Anolis sagrei: one gene and its partner. The protein of the gene in region 2 interacts with the protein of the main gene of each other region in a pairwise test. Links are inferred from orthologs where the notes say so. Each region holds a gene or a part of one and is shown on either strand. Other genes may lie near its edges.

Region 1 (8,463 bases), on a different chromosome or scaffold from region 2:
GACGGACCATTGTTTTAAGACATTGTGGAACATGATAATAGTAGCTTCTATTACAGTTATGCCAAAGTCATTTTGTGTAATTAAAATGGTGACCTAATTGTGGCCTAATCTACAGATGAAGGTTGACTGAAACAATTTTACATTTCCATGAGTAACCATATATTCTTCATTAACATCTGTTCGACTGTTCCATTCATTTTGGCAATGACACAGAATTTGTGGTATATGGAATTTGTGGTATTTCTGTTCACAAGTATAATATGGACTGGAATGTCTATTTTTCAGCTGCCTTTCTTATATTAGTTATTAGCTTAGTTCTGTGTACTTGCATTATATTATTATATTGACATTGTTGCATTAGTTGATTTCTTATCCCCACTGTTTTTTTGTTGGTGCTGACTGAATTGTGCCATGCAGTAATCTAATATTGACCACAGCACTACTGTTTTCCCTTACCGTTGGCAAGAGAAAGGGGACAGAGAGCCCAATCGAGAAACCTTTACTTTGGAGTAGTTGGATGGGGCTGTGGACAGGAAGGCTAACTGAAACTGGGGCCCCTTCCACACAGCTGAATAAAATCCCATACTATCTGTTTTGAACTGGAATATATGGCAGCGTGGACTCAGATAACCCAATTCAAAGCAGATATTGTGGGATTTTCTGCCTTGATATTCTGGGATATAGGGCTATGTGGAAGGGCCCTTGGAGGCAGCCTTGAAAAGGGGAAAAAAAAGAAAAATAAACCTGCAACTGAAGAGCAGATCTAATTATATATTATCTATTCACACTTTCTTCCTTGATCTGTATGGTGTTAGCCAGAAAGACACTTTCACATCTGTTTTTAAAAGCAATTTTATTATTCAAGGCTTCCAAAGAACTGCAGTCTCTTTTTCCATCTTCAAGCCATTTTTACAATCTTGCTGCAGCATTTGAATAACTTTATGGTCATTTATGATCTACTGCTGAATACATCTTCAACTGATTTTATTAATGTACTAATAAAAGTTTGACATGAGAACACCACAAATACATGAGACAAGGAGGGGGAATATAGTGTATGACGAAGACGAAATCCATCCCAAAAGGAACATAGACTTAATGGTGAATTATAATCAAGGGCCCCAAAGACTAAACAACCCCAATATGTGGTTAACATTTAAGGTGACATACTAAATGAGACATTGTGGAAGTTGCAGTCCAAAAAGCTCTAACACAAACTGGGGGCCCTTCCACCCAGCTCTATATCCCAGAATATCAAGGCAGTAAATCCCACAATATCTGCTTTGAACTAGGTTATCTGAGTCCACACGCAGATAATGTGGGATTTTCTGCCTTGGTATTCTTGATATAGGGCTGCATGAAAGGGCCCTCATTTAAATTGTTGGGACATAGGTTCACCGTGTCTGACTTGTTCCATTGATTTTTGTGGGTCTACTCTAAGCACAACTGTAAAATATCCAATATTGTCCTCCCTTGCATCAACAAGATTGCAAGTATTATTTGTGTCATCTGTTTCCTTATACATGGCAGCAGTCATCCTTCATTCTGTGCTGTTAACAGTCAATAACACACTTTTTGTTCTGATAAGGAGGGAGTGGAGTTCTGTTTGCTCTCTTATTTTAGTGTAGATTGTTATTCCTATGCTACTTATGCCATCTTCATTGCTTGCTGTGGTCTTTACTTCAAAAACAAAGCAAAAGGATACCATGTACACACACTTAAAACCAGGCATTTAAAAATCCTGAAATGACAGTAAGCTCTAGAAATGGTCAGGGATATTTACCAAGACATTTGCAGGAGTTCTGAGAGAGCATTTTAATACTTCTTTAAGATGAAGATCCTCTTTGGAATCCTACCTATTTCCTGCACAAATTCTACTAAGAGCTTAAAAATAGGGTTTAGAGAGGTCTGAGTGATGTCTTTTTTTGTCATTCTGTGCCTTATGTCCAGCACTAAACCGAACTATGCCTGACTTTTGATTTTTAGAATATATATGTCTATTGTGTATTATCTTACACAATAGCTATACAGTTATATTTATACCCCATGTTTTCTCCAGTAAATCAAAAGAAATGTATATATATCGCTCTCTTCCCCACTTTTTATTTTCACAATAGTGATCCTGGAAGGGAGAGCAGGCTGAAATCAACTGGTCCAAGTCACTATGCAAGTTTCATGACTAGAATTTCCCAGTTAACACTAAACCATTTCCAGATCCTCCACCTAGGATCTGGAAATGGCAGTGCATATGCTGGTAACCACAGGTATGTGATGTCAAGAGGAAATCTTTACTTATTGATTCTCATGGAGGACCTCATCGCACTAGAGAACCAATCCACTTTAAATCTGGTTTCTGCCTCCTGCAGAATTCTGGGGTTTGTAGTTGAGTGGGACTGTTAAAAGCTCCCCCTTAAACTACAAACCCCAGAATTCTGCAGGAGGCAGAAACCAGATTTAAAGTGGATTCATGCTGTAGTGCAGGCATGGGAAAACATTTTTGCTTTGGGGCTGTATTATGGGCTCAACCAAGATGGCCAGGCTGGGAGGGAGAGGGCCTGTAAGAGGGTGGGGCCGGGGCAGGGCCTGGGTCAACCTAAGGTTGTCCTCTTGGCATAGGGATGCTTGCCCCTTGTGCCATAAGGATGCTCATCTCATCCTTGTGCCGGGAGGAAAAAAACAGGTGGCAACTGCTCCGATACTCCTTCCTGATCTTCGGGCTGTCCTCCGGAGCATTCTGGAGGTCTCTTAGCTGCTACATGCCTTCCTCGGGCCATCCTCTCAGCATAAGGATGGGACCACTCACACTGTCCTTATGCCAGGAGGGCAGGACATGCTGTGGCTGAGAGCACTCCAGAGGGATCTCAGTTGCTGCATGCCTTCCTCCCCTGTCCTTTCTGCATAAGGATACAGCAGGCCACCATGTCCTTATACTGAGAGGATAAGGAAAATGAGGGCCTGAAGTGGGTGCCCAGGGAGCCGTATCCAGCCCTCAGCCTTTAGTTTGCCCATTCCTGCTCTAGTGTGATGAGTCCAGGGTCGTAACTGGGGTGGGGGTGGGGTAAGAGTTCTAATTTCGCAAAAGGGTTCTAACACACACCCCTCCCCGAAACCTGGTTTACTCAAGAATTTTAAATGGTTAACCAAGTTATGAGTAAACCAGGTTTCTTTTGTAACCTTTAAAGATCTAAACAGTTCTGACCCTGATTACCTGTCCGAATGTATCTCCTGTTATGAACCATCGCGAAGTCTAAGGTCATCTGGAGAGGCCCTGCTCTCAATCCCACCACCAACGCAAACGCGATTGGTGGGGACGAGAGACAGTGGCTCCCCGTCTGTGGAACTCCCTTCCCAGGGACATCATACTGGCCACCTCCCTCCTGTCTTTCAGAAGGAAACTTCGACTAGCAACAAGTGGAAAGAAGACTCAGGCAACCCAGGACAATGAATTGACCCAGATTTGGATTTGGTTTTTAAATGGCATGTCTAATCAATTGTTTTTAATTAACTGTTTTAATGTATTTATTGAAATGTTTTATGATGGTGATGGCACTGTATGGTGCTTGTTGTGAGACTGCTCTGAGCCCCCCAGGCCCCCCTGCAACGGGGGTGAGAAAGGAGGGGTATTGTTGTTGTTCATTCGTTTCTGACTCTTTGTGACTTCATGAACCAGCCCATGCCAGAGCTCCTTGTCCGTCGTCACCACCCCCAGCTCCTTCAAGGTCAATCCAGTCACTTCAAGGATACCATCCATCCATCTTGCCCTTGGTCGGCCCCTTTTCCTTTTTCCTTCCATTTTCCCCAGCATCATTGTCTTCTCTAAGCTTTCCTTTCTTCTCATTATGTGGCCAAAGTACTTCATCTTGGCCTCTAGTATCCTTCCCTCCAATGAGCAGTCAGGCTTTATTTCTTGAAGTATGGACTGATTGGATCTTCTCGGTGTCCAAGGCACTCTCAGCACTTTCCTCCAACACCACTGTTCAAAAACATCTATCTTCCTTCGCTCAGCCTTCCCTATGGTCCAGCTCTCACATCCATAGGTGACTATGGGGAATACCATTGCTTTAACTATGCCAGTGTGATGTCTCTACTCTTCACTATTTTATCAAGATTGGTCATGGCTCTCCTCCCAAGAAGTAAGTGTCTCCTGACAGGCCGGTAGCCAGGATTTCGATTGGGGGGGGGGGGGGGTGAGTCTGAGTGAAAGAGGGTCTACCCCAGCAAACCTTTTGTATCGTTACCCCAATACCCCCGTGCATATGGGATATATTGAGTATGGTGATCAGATCATGATATGAATAAACATAACAGTTTAAATAATGCACCAGTAAGGCCTTTTCGCGAACCACCATGAGAATTTCGGGGGGGGGGGGGGCTGAAGCCTCTCACCCCCCCCCCCCCCGGCTACAAGTCTGTCTCCTGATTTTCTGGCTGGAGTCTGCGGGATATAAATCTATGAAATAAATAAATAAATAATAACATGGCACATTTCAGGGTAGGGTTGAATTTTACCCCCCCCCCCCCCCCCCCGCTATGGCCCTGGATGGGTCTCTTATTATTCTGCAAGTGACTGCAGTCCATCCCTTGGAGCCCCGCCTCCTAACTTTTTCCCTGCTGCGTGGAGAGAGAAGAGGAAGAAAAAACACACTCTTCCTATGCTCAGAGGCGATGAAGAAGACTCAGCATTAAATCCCAGTGGTTCTTTCCGGCTGTTCCAAGGTGCAGGAATCCAGAAATCCATTCTGGGAGGTGGAATGACCACAGCCTTGGGAGATTAGTCCTGCCGCAGCTGAAAAAGGAGCAAAGCCAAGCCGACAAAGGAGTAGTGCTGCAATACGCAGAAGGAAAGGCAGCTCTGTCCGGTGAGGACGTTTGTCCCTAGTTTCCAGCCACGAAAGGAGACGCAAAGAGGGCAGTGGAAAGGGACAGTTCTTCCCCACAAGCAGTGGAAAGGGGCAGGCTCAGCGTTGGAAGCGAAGCCAAGGCTGGGCCAACCCCCGCCCCGCTTGCTCGCTCGCTTGCTTCCTTCCTCTTGCTCTCCAACTCTTTGCTGGCCCGCCTTTGCGCGCCCTCGCTCCTCCTTTTGCCGGCTCCTCCTCCTCCTCCTCTTTCCCCGATCGCAGGCAGGAAAAGGGGGGCCGAAAGGAGGGAGGAGGAGGAGGAGAAGCAGCCACTGACGCGTCCTCCCTCGGCTGAGCTTCCCGCAAAGGCAAGGCGCCGAAGAGCCGGAGAGAAAAGCGAGAGCAACCCAGGCGCTTGGAGAAAGCCAACCAACTGGAGACACAGACGCACACAGAGAGGAAGAGGCTGCGCGCTGGCTCCCGGCGATCAGCAGCAACGGGGTGAGCCAAAAAAGGGGGCGAATCCGTCTCTCCTGCCGGGCCCAGCGCTTCTTTCTCCGCCTGCCAGGCCGAGGGGCCCGCTTGCTTCCCTTTTTGGCTCCTAGCCCGGCTGAAGAGGGCGCGGGTGGCTCTCTTTCCCGTGCGCAAAAACTGGGAGGAGAAGGAAAAGGAGGAGGAAGGCGCGTCTCCGAAGGGAAAAGGAGGGAAGGAGGGGGAATGGTCCCGTTGGGGGGGGGGGCATCTGTATGCATCTGTGGGTCAGAGACACCCGCAGACACTTCTCTGGCTTGGCTCCAAGCGGGCTGTCAGCGCGTCTCCCTTGCCGAGTCCTCCTTTTTTCCCCTGGCTGCGTGTGCGTAAAATAGCCGGAGGCAGCCAGGGAAAAAAAGGAGGACTCGGCAAGGGAGACGCGCTGACAGCCCACCCGCCTGCTTCCCTGCCAAGAAGGAGTGCCCACCAAAGAGTCAGCTGTGTGTCTGTGTTGCAATTGTGGCTCTTGAGCCAGATCTGGCCTCCAGCCTCCCTTCCCAAGGAGAAGCCACGCTCCCATTCTTAAGAGAGTGCCTTTCTTGGGATCTGGCACCGCGCACAGAAAAGCCACGTTTTCTCCCTCGGTTTCCTCCTCTCTTCCTCTCTCCCGGATTGCCTTTTGTGTTGGTGGACTTCTCTCCCAGGCTGGACGGGAAGTAGGACCTTTTCTGAAACCCTTGGGAGTGGCCAAAGGGGAGCCAGCCACTCACTGCTGGAGTGTTTTCCAACCCTGCGCCAAAGGTGGAAGGGATGGGCTCCTCCTCGAAGACTAACTCTGCTGCTTCCCAGTTTTGGGGAACTTCAACTCCCAGAATCCTTGGTCGTTGGCCAAAGCAGCAGGGACTTCTGGGAGTTGAAGTCCTTTGTGTGTGTGTGTGTTGCTTTCTTTTTTATTTTCTCTTTATTTGCTGTCCATGCATGCTCAGGGCCCTTCCACACAGCCCTCTATCCCAGAATATCAAGGCAGGAAATCCCATGTTATCTGAGTTATCAGGGCCCTTCCACATAGCTGAATAGAATCCCACATTATCTGCTTTGAACTGGGATATATGGCAGTGTGGACTCAGGTAACCCAACTCAAAGCAGGTATTGTGGGATTTTCTGCTTTGATATTCTGGGGTAAAGGGCTTTGTGGAAGGACCCCCAATTCAAAAGCAGATATTGTGGGATTTTCTGACTTGATATTCTGGGATAAAGGGCTGTGTGAAAGGGCCCTCAGAAGGATATTCTGGAGATCTATGTGTTGTCGAAGGCTTTCATGGCCAGAATCACTGGTTTGCTGTGAGTTTTCCTGTCTTTATGGCCATGTTCCAGAAGCAATCTCTTCTGACGTTTCACCTGCATCTATGGCAGGCATCAAGAGAGAATGCTTCTGGAACATGGCTATGCAGCCCAGAAAACTCTCAGCAACATAGGCACCTTCCACACAGCTGAATAAAAGCCCACATTATCTGCTTTGATATTGGAATATATGGCAGTGTGGACTCAAGACCCTTTCATACAGCCCTATATCCCAGAATATCAAGGCAGGAAATCCCATATTATCTGAGTGTGGACTTTGGGCCCTTCCACACAGCCCTATATCTAGAATATCAAGGCAGGAAATCCCACAATATTTGTTTTGAACTGGGTTATTTGAGTCCACACTGACACATATTACAGTTCAAAGCTGATAATGTAGGATTTTATTCAGATAACCCAGTTCAAAGCACATATATTGTGGGATTTTTTAATTATTTTTTTTTTGCAGAAGGCCCCCAGTTGATCAATATCAGTGTTTAGCAAACGTTGGTTTTCCAGTGTTGCCTTTCCTCCATGCCCAGTGTGGGATTCTAGGGACGGTTAATCTAGGGGCCCTTCCACACAGCCCTATAACCCAGAATGTCAAGGCAGAAAGTCCCACAATATCTGCTTTGAACTGGGATACCTGAGTCCACACTGCCATATATACCAGTTCAAAGCTGATAATGTTGGATTTTATTCAGCTGTGTGGAAGGGGCCTCTATCAGTGTGTTCCCAACTCTGGTCTTCCAGGTGTTTTGAATTCCAACTCCAGAGCAGATAAAAGTCCAAAACACCCGAAGGACTGGGAGTCACAGCTTTAAAGGATTTAGCATGGCTGGGCTTTTAGCTTCTAATGGGCGTAGTGCAGCACAGGGCCCTTCCTGACAGGCCCTATATCCCAGGACCTGATTTTGTTTATGATAGATTATTTGGCAGTGCAGACCCATAATCCAGTTTAAAGCAGAAAACATGGGATCAGTTCCTGGGATATAGGGTCTGTCTGGAAGGGCCCACAAACTGTTTGACTTCTTGCTAACTTGGATCTGTTGGAAGTTGTAGCTTAAGTTGATGGATGATATTATTATTTTTTGATATACAACAAGATTAGTACACAGCAAACAAGATCACTATGCTGACTTTTGTATTCGATCACATGTCGCACACTTTCCAAGTGTCTAGGATTGTATGATGTATCTGCAAATAATGCGTGCAGATCCGAGTAGGGTGGCCTTTTGTAGCTGATAGATGGTAATTTTGTCAGCGCTGATTGTTTTTCAGTGCAGGCCAAGGTCTTTAGGCACTGCACCCAGTGTGCTGATCACCACTGGGACCACCTTTACTGGCTTGTGCCAGAGTCTTTACAGTTTGATCTTTAAATACAGGAGTTTCCTAGCATCACCTTCTGGGTATGGTTCTTGAGGAAGAAATGGAGCCATTGTAAAACATTGCCTCCCATTCCCCTCCCAGCGAGATGGTACTCAGAGAAGGAATTCTTGGGAAATTGGCACAGTGGCCATTCTGCTCTGTAGTCTCTGTGTGGTATATATACTTGACGCCCCTTATTCATGGATTGTGGTAGATAACCACAATTTTTACTTACCCATATTACAGAATATGTTTGTGAACTTCTCTGGGTTCTCCAACATGATGCTGGTCCAAATGTAGTTAAAATATGAGATGTGTCATTATCCATGGTTTTAGGTATCCTTTAATTGTTTGTGTGTCCCCTTGGCGATATAGTGCTGGTTATAAATAAAGCATTATTATTATTATTATTATTATTATTATTATTATTATTATTATTATTTTA
Region 2 (7,616 bases):
CAGGACTCCCATGACCAACAGAAAGTGTTTGGTGGGAATTGAGTTTTGGAGCTGTAGTTCACCTCCATCCAGAGAGCACTGTGGACTCAAACAATGATGGATCTGGACCAAGCTTGGCATGAATGCTCAATATGCCCAAATGTGAACACTGGTGAAGTTTGGGGAAAATAGGTCTTGACATTTGGGAGTTGTAGTTGATGGATTTATAGTTCACCTACAATCAAAGAACATTATGAACCCCACCAATGATGAAATTGAACCAAACTTGGCACACAGGATTCCCATGACCAAGAGAAAATACTGAGAGGATTCAGTGGGCATTGACCTTGAGTTTTGGAGTTGTAGTTCACCTACATCCAGAGAGCACTGTGGGCTCAAACAATGATGGATCTGGACCAACTCTGCTGGACTGAAGGCCATGTTGTCCGAATACCCAAAGATCACTGTCTCCCAAAGGAGTTACTCTACTCCAAACTCCAGAACAGGAAATATAATGTTAGTGGACAGGGAAAGATGTTCAAAGATGGGCTCAAAGCCAATCTCAAAAACTGTGACATAGACACCAAGAGAGAACTGGGAAGCTCTGGCTCTTGAGCGCTCTGTGACCAGCAGTGCTGAAGAATTCGAAGAGGCACGAATGGAGGGCGAAAGGGAAAAATGTGCCAAGAGGAAGGCACGTCAAGCCAACCCCAACTGGGACCACCTTCTGTCTGGAAACCGACGTCCTCACTGCGGGCTCCACAGCCACCTACAGACCCACCGCCAAGACACCACATCTGGAAGACCATCATCCTCGAGCTACAAGGGATCGCCTAAGTAAGTAAGCAAGCAGCCTGGCCATCAATCTCTGAACCAGTTGGAGTTTCAGAACTATCTTCAAAGGCATAGACAGCATTGCAGCAGTCCAAGCAGGATGTGACTAAGGCATGGACTCCCATGGCCAGGTCTGGCGTATCGAGGGACAAGCTGGTGCACAAGCTGTGCAAAGGCACTCCTGGTTCAGCAATGAGCTCAGCAATGAGTCCAGGGTCAGGACCAGGCTGCAGACCTATGTCTTCAGGGGGAGTGGGTCCCCATCCAACACCTTGATCCACCTTCCGACTGACCAGGAGGACCTCTGTCTTGCCTGGATTTACGAGGTTGAATGAAAAGTAATGCCTCCACCTTTGTAACTCCTAGATGTCACCCCCAAAGGAGATTCATCAGAGGATTCAAGCTGTTTATGGGGATTGTGTTGACGTGAGTACTGTTTGTCTTTGGGCGAGTAAGTTTAAAGATGTTGAGGTGACACCTTCTGCTGTCAATAATTCAATGACTGCATGTTGCTTAAGTTGCATTGACTGACCGTCTGCGCAGGGTTCCATACTTCGCAATTTAACAACACAACCGTTCAATGCTAAGGCTTCCTGCCAAAATGGAACTGTAGAGGAGAGTCTACTGAACAAGCCAGTACCTGCCGCATACCAGTACTGCCATCTGTTGAGGAGTTACAAAGGTGGAGGCATTACTTTGCATTCAACCCTCGAACCTTCAACTGATTAGCCCTCCCCCAGCCCATCCCAGCCTTGCATATGACAGATATGGCTGTGTCCTCCAAGATAATAATAATAATAATAATAATAATAATAATAATAATAATTGTAGAAGAATGGCTGTGTCCACCGAGATCATCATCATCATAGTAATAATAATAGTAGTAGTAGTAGTAGTAATAATAGTAGAAGAGCAACTGTGTCCACTGAGATCATCATCCTCATCACCATCATAGTAATAATAATAGTAATAATAATAGTAGAAGAGCAGCTGTGTCCACTGAGATCATCATCCTCATCACCATCATAGTAATAATAATAGTAATAGTAATAATAATAGTAGAAGATCAGCTGTGTCCACTGAGATCATCATTATATCATCATCATCATCATCATCATCATAGTAATAATAATAATAATAATAATAATAGAAGAGCAGCTATGTCCACTGAGATCATCATCATCACCATCATCATAGCAATAATAATAATAATAATAATAATAGTAGTAGTAGTAGTAGTAATAGTAGAAGAGGAGCTGTGTCTACTGAGACCATCATCCTCATCACCATCATACTAATAATGATAGTAATAGTAATAATAATAGTAGAATAGCAGCTGTGTCCACTGAGATCATCATATCCCCCATCATCATCATCATCATCATCATCATCATATCATCATCATCATAGTAATAATAGAAGAGCAGCTATGTCCACTGAGATCATCATCATCATCATCATCATCATCATCATAGTAATAATAATAGTAGTAGTAGTAGTAGTAGTAGAAGAAGAGGAGCTGTGTCCACTGAGACCATCATCCTCATCACCATCATACTAATAATAATAGTAATAGTAATAATAGTAGAAGAGCAGCTGTGTAAACTGAGATCATCATCATCATATCATCATCATAGTAATAATAGTAATAATAGAAGTGCAGCTATGTCCACTGAGATCATCATCATCATCATAGTAATAATAATAATAACAGTAATAATAATAGTAGAAGAACAGCTGTGTCTACCAAGATCATCAAATAATAACAATAATAACAATAATAATAATAATAGAAGAAGAAGAGCAGCTGTGTCCACTGAGATCATAGTAATCCCCACAGTAATAATAATAGTAATAATACTCGAAGGCCGGAGCACCTGTGAGCCAAGGCAACAGCCACAGCGGAGACCCTTGAGTGTGGGAACAGGTGAAATAGGTGGGTGGGGGCACGGAGGGGTGAGCGTGCGCGTGCCTGTGTGTGTGGGGATCCCCCCCCCCTTTTTGCCACAAATCCTACTTACATAGTATTCCTCCTGGCTGTGCTGGAGGCTGAGGGGAATGTCCAGCATGCACATCTGGAAGGGCTGCACCAGCGCCTTCTGCATGCAGAACAAAGGCTTGGGCTCCATCTCTGCCTGCTGCTCCTGCTGCGGTGGCGGCGGCTTCCCCCTTTCCCCTGCTCCAACGGGGCTTCAACCAAGAACAGGGAGGCAGGGGGCCCCCTGCTGCTGCTGGGCATGGTCTCCCAAGGAGGCTCTCCCGCTTGCTGCCAGGATGCGCATGCAGCAGCAGCAGAAGCAGAGCCAACCGCAACCGCACACCCCCCTTGGGCTGCAGGAAAGGGGTCGAGGGGAGGGGCAGCTGGGAGGGAGGGAGGAAAGGCAGCCCACCCCTCACCCCTCAGCAGACCACCCTGCCCTTCTTTGCACAGGCTCTCCTCTCCTGGCAATGGGTGGGAAGAGGAAGGGGTCTCCTTGCAGAGAGAGAAAGTGGGGTGCAAACACACACACACACAATAATAATAATAATAATAATAATATCCCCCAATAAACAGAATAATGCCCCCAAATAAACAAAATAATAATAATGCCCGATAATAATAATAGTAATAATAATGATGATTATGATGGTGATGATGCTAGAATAAAAATATAATAATAATAATAATAATAATAATAATAATAATAATAATAATAATACCAGAATAAAAAATATAATCATAGAATCATAGAATCAAAGAGTTGGAAGACCTCATGGGCCATCCAGTCCAACCCCCTGCCAAGAAGCAGGAATATTGCATTCAAATCACCCCTGACAAATGGCCATCCAGCCTCTGCTTAAAAGCTTCCAAAGAAGGAGGCTCCACCACACTCCGGGGCAGAGAGTTCCACTGCTGAACGGCTCTCACAGTCAGGAAATTCTTCCTAATGTTCAGATGGAATCTCCTCTCTTGTAGTTTGAAGCCATTGTTCCATATTATAATAATAATAATATGAAATCCAGCATATATATCTGATTTGCTGTGACATACTGTGTTTTTGTGTCAGTCAAATAATAATAATAATAATAATAATAATAATAATGTCCCCCAATAAACAGAATAATGATAATGCGCCCAAATAAACAAAATAATAGTAATAATAATGCCCCCATAATAATGATGATGATGATGATGATAATAAAAACAATAATAATGGTGCTAGAGTGAAAATATAATAATAATATAATTCCAGAATAAAAATATTATAATAATAATATGAAATCCGGCATATATGTCTGATTTGCTGTGACATACTGTGTTTTTATGTCAGTCAAATAATAATAATAATAATAATAATAATAATGTCCCCCAATAAACAGAATAATGATAATGCGCCCAAATAAACAAAATAATAGTAATAATAATGCTCCCATAATAATGATGATGATGATAAAAACAATAATAATGGTGCTAGAGTAAAAATATTTATTTATTTATTTATTTACTTATATACCGCTGTTCTCAGCCCGGGGGCGACTCACAGCGGTGTACAACAGAGGAACAACAACATTCAAGACACAGTATAAAAACAATTCACAATCCAGCATTATACAAAAACCATTCAGTGTCGTCTCATCGTCCAAACCACAATCCAATATCGTTTTCCATTGTTCCGTTCCTATAGTCATTACCAATCATAATATAAAATATAATAATAATATAATTCCAGAATAAAATATATAATAATAATAACAAAAACAAAAAAACCCATAGTTGGATCATGAATGTTGCAATCCCAGGTGAAAGCAGGATTGAAGAGAAACAACTGGAAAAGCTGACACGATATGAGGATTGAAATACTGAACTGCAAAGACTCTGGCACAAGTCAGTCAAGGGGGTCCCAGTGGGGATCGGCACACTGGGCGCAGTGCCTCAAGATCTTGGCCTGGACACAATCGGCGCTGACAAAATCCCCTCACAATCTCTGAGGATGCCTGCCATAGATGCAGGTGAAACGTCAGGAGAGAATGCTTCTGGAACATGACCAGACGGCCCAAAAAAATTACAGTAACCCAATAAGAATAACAATAACATTACATAAATAAATAAATAAATAAATAAATGTAGCTCCAGCAACACACACACACATATATGATCAAGAATCCCGGAAGAACCCTTTCCCCGCTGAGAAGGATTACTCTTTCTGGAGTGGATCTCCCTTGCTTCCAAGGGGTGGATTCCTCCTCTTTCCTGTTTTCTCACTGGTCTTAACTAAGAGTCATTTGAAACTCGGGGAGGGACAGCCTGTATCAGGATGCCACTACAACCGGAGGAAGAGGCCGTGGGTACCCAACTCCCATCTCCATGGAGACAGACGGATGTGTGGTTGCTGTGCCAACGGGGGAACGCACCACGGGGCAGAATCGGGGGCCCGCTGCGGCAGGAAAGGGCTTGCACGGCCCCTGAGGATGGCAAGAGCACATCAACACGAAGGAAGGAAAACACCTTCCCGCTGGTGGCCTGCAGGTCTCCGCTGGAGCTTCGCCTCAGCCCTTGCGTCAACAACAAGCCAATCTTGGCACATTCTCACAGGGATGGGAAGCCAGGAGGAACCTTCTGAACAGAGGCACAGGGGAGCTCACCTACCTCTATGCCATCCAAAGCTAATGATATAGATTTGGCTGGAGTGCCACTTCATAAAGGAACCGGTTCAGACTTAACATACCTCTCTTGTTTGTAACTTGGGGCCTGTATATCAAAGAGGGGGAATTTCACACAAACACACACATATATAGATAGCATATGGAAGGGTATGTATATTTGGCTGGAGTGTGTGTGTGTGTGTGTGAGGAGTGACTTGGGAAGTTGCTTCTGGTGTGAGACGTTGCCCAGGGGACGTTGTCTGGATGCTTGATGTTTTTTGCCATCCTTGTGGGAGGCTTCTCTCATGTCCCCGCATGGGGAGCTGGAGCTGATAGAGGGAGCTCCTCTGCCCTCCCCATTCGAATCTCCAACCTGTCGGTCAGCAATCCTGCCGGCAGGAGAGTTTAATCCACTGCGCCACCCGCAGCTCCATTAATACTCAAGACTGTTACACAGCAAACAAGATCACTCTGCTGGCTGTTGTATAGGATCACATGTTGGACACTTCCCAAGTGTGTAGGACTGTGTGATGTATTGGCAAATAATGTGTGCAGATCCCAGTAGGGTGGCCTTTTGCAGCGGACAGATGGTGATTTGGTCACTGCCTATTGTTTTTAAGTGTAGGCCAAGGTCTTGAGGCACTGCACCCAGTGTGCCGATCTGCACTGGGACCCCCTTGACTGGCTTGTGCCAGAGTCTTTGCAGTTCGATCTTTAAATCCTCGTCTCGTGCCACCTTTTCCAGTTGCTTATCAAACCTGCTGTTTGTTTGTTTATTTATTTATTATTATATTATGTTGATTATCTTAATTTCTGTCCTGCCTTTCTCCACATAGGGACTCAAGAAGGCTAATAAGGCCGAGCAGCAGGGCGAGGGCGTCAAGTAGCAGGGCTCCAGAACAACCCCACACAGACGCCGGTTTTAGTTATCAAAGAAATGAGAAATGCGGCTTTTTTATCCGAAGCAAATCCGACAAATAAAACAAAAAAGAGGAAAATTCCAGCAATAATAAGAAATAAACAAACAGGAAGCGATTGGAATGGAAGAAGACCATACGTGCTTGCTTTTTGCTGTTGACCAGATTGAAAACTCAAACTCTCTGCATTGTCTCAATGTACGCAGCATGGGATTATTATTGTTATTATTGTTATTATTATTATTATTATTATTATTATTATTCGTATCTCCGGCCACAGCCGCTCCCTTTGGTGGAGCCACCGCAACATGTTTTTTAATGGATACACAAGAAAAACTCAAAGGCCTGTTTTTTCTCAAGACACACCTTTCAAGGTTTTTAAATTGTTTCATATCTACATATATAAAAATGCTCTGTGCATTATGAGTATCTTAAAAACGAAAGAACCAATGAACGAAATCACACCAAATTTGGGAACAAAACGTCTCACAATACAAGGAGTGACCATCGCTCAAAAAATTATGACTTTGTCATTTGCGAGTTGTAGTTTATTTATTTATTTATTTACTTTATTTGTATACCGCTCTTCTCAGCCCTTAGGCGACTCAGAGCGGTTTACAACAGTTTAGATATATACTATAGTTGCTGGGATTTATAGTTCACCTACAATCAAAGAGCATTCTGAACTCTATTAACGATGGAATTGAACCAAACTTGGCACACAGAACTCCCATGACCAGCAGAAAATACTGGAAGGGTTTGGTGGGCATTGACCTTGAGTTTGAGAGTTGTAGTTCACCTTCATCCAGAGAGCACTGTGGACTCAAACAATGATGGATCTGAACCAAACTTGGCACAAGCACTCAATACGTCCAAATATGAACACAGATGGAGTTTGGGGGAAATAGACCTTGACATTTGGGAGTTGTAGTCACTGGGATTCACAGTTCTCCTACAATCAAAGAGCAGTGGGTTGTTGTAGGTTTTTTCGGGCTATATGGCCATGGTCTAGAGGCATTCTCTCCTGACGTTTCGCCTGCATCTATGGCAAGCATCCTCAGAGGTAGTGAGGTGCATCTATGGCAAGCATCCTCAGAGGTAGTGACCTCACTACCTCTGAGGATGCTTGCCATAGATGCAGGCAAAATGTCAGGCGAGAATGCCTCTAGACCATGGCCATGTAGCCCAAAAAAACCTACAACAACCCAGTGATTCCGGCCATGAAAGCCTTAGACAATACAATCAAAGAGCATTTTGAACCCC

Evidence for each region. The genes of interacting proteins can lie anywhere in the genome.
Region 1: the proteins of RALGDS (region 2) and RAP1A interact in a two-hybrid assay, tested with the Homo sapiens proteins (3 studies listed by BioGRID and IntAct). The link is inferred for Anolis sagrei from reciprocal best matches to the Homo sapiens genes RALGDS and RAP1A.

The regions. Positions count from the first base shown.
Region 1 is NC_090024.1:199,233,774-199,242,236, forward strand, and holds the start of RAP1A (ras-related protein Rap-1A), read left to right. Parts: upstream 1-5,043; 5' UTR 5,044-5,339; intron 5,340-8,463. UniProt on the Homo sapiens protein: Counteracts the mitogenic function of Ras, at least partly because it can interact with Ras GAPs and RAF in a competitive manner. Together with ITGB1BP1, regulates KRIT1 localization to microtubules and membranes.
Region 2 is NC_090031.1:18,839,215-18,846,830, forward strand, and holds the start of RALGDS (ral guanine nucleotide dissociation stimulator), read right to left. Parts: upstream 3,159-7,616; 5' UTR 2,943-3,158; coding exon 2,835-2,942; intron 1-2,834. UniProt on the Homo sapiens protein: Functions as a guanine nucleotide exchange factor (GEF) activating either RalA or RalB GTPases and plays an important role in intracellular transport. Interacts and acts as an effector molecule for R-Ras, H-Ras, K-Ras, and Rap.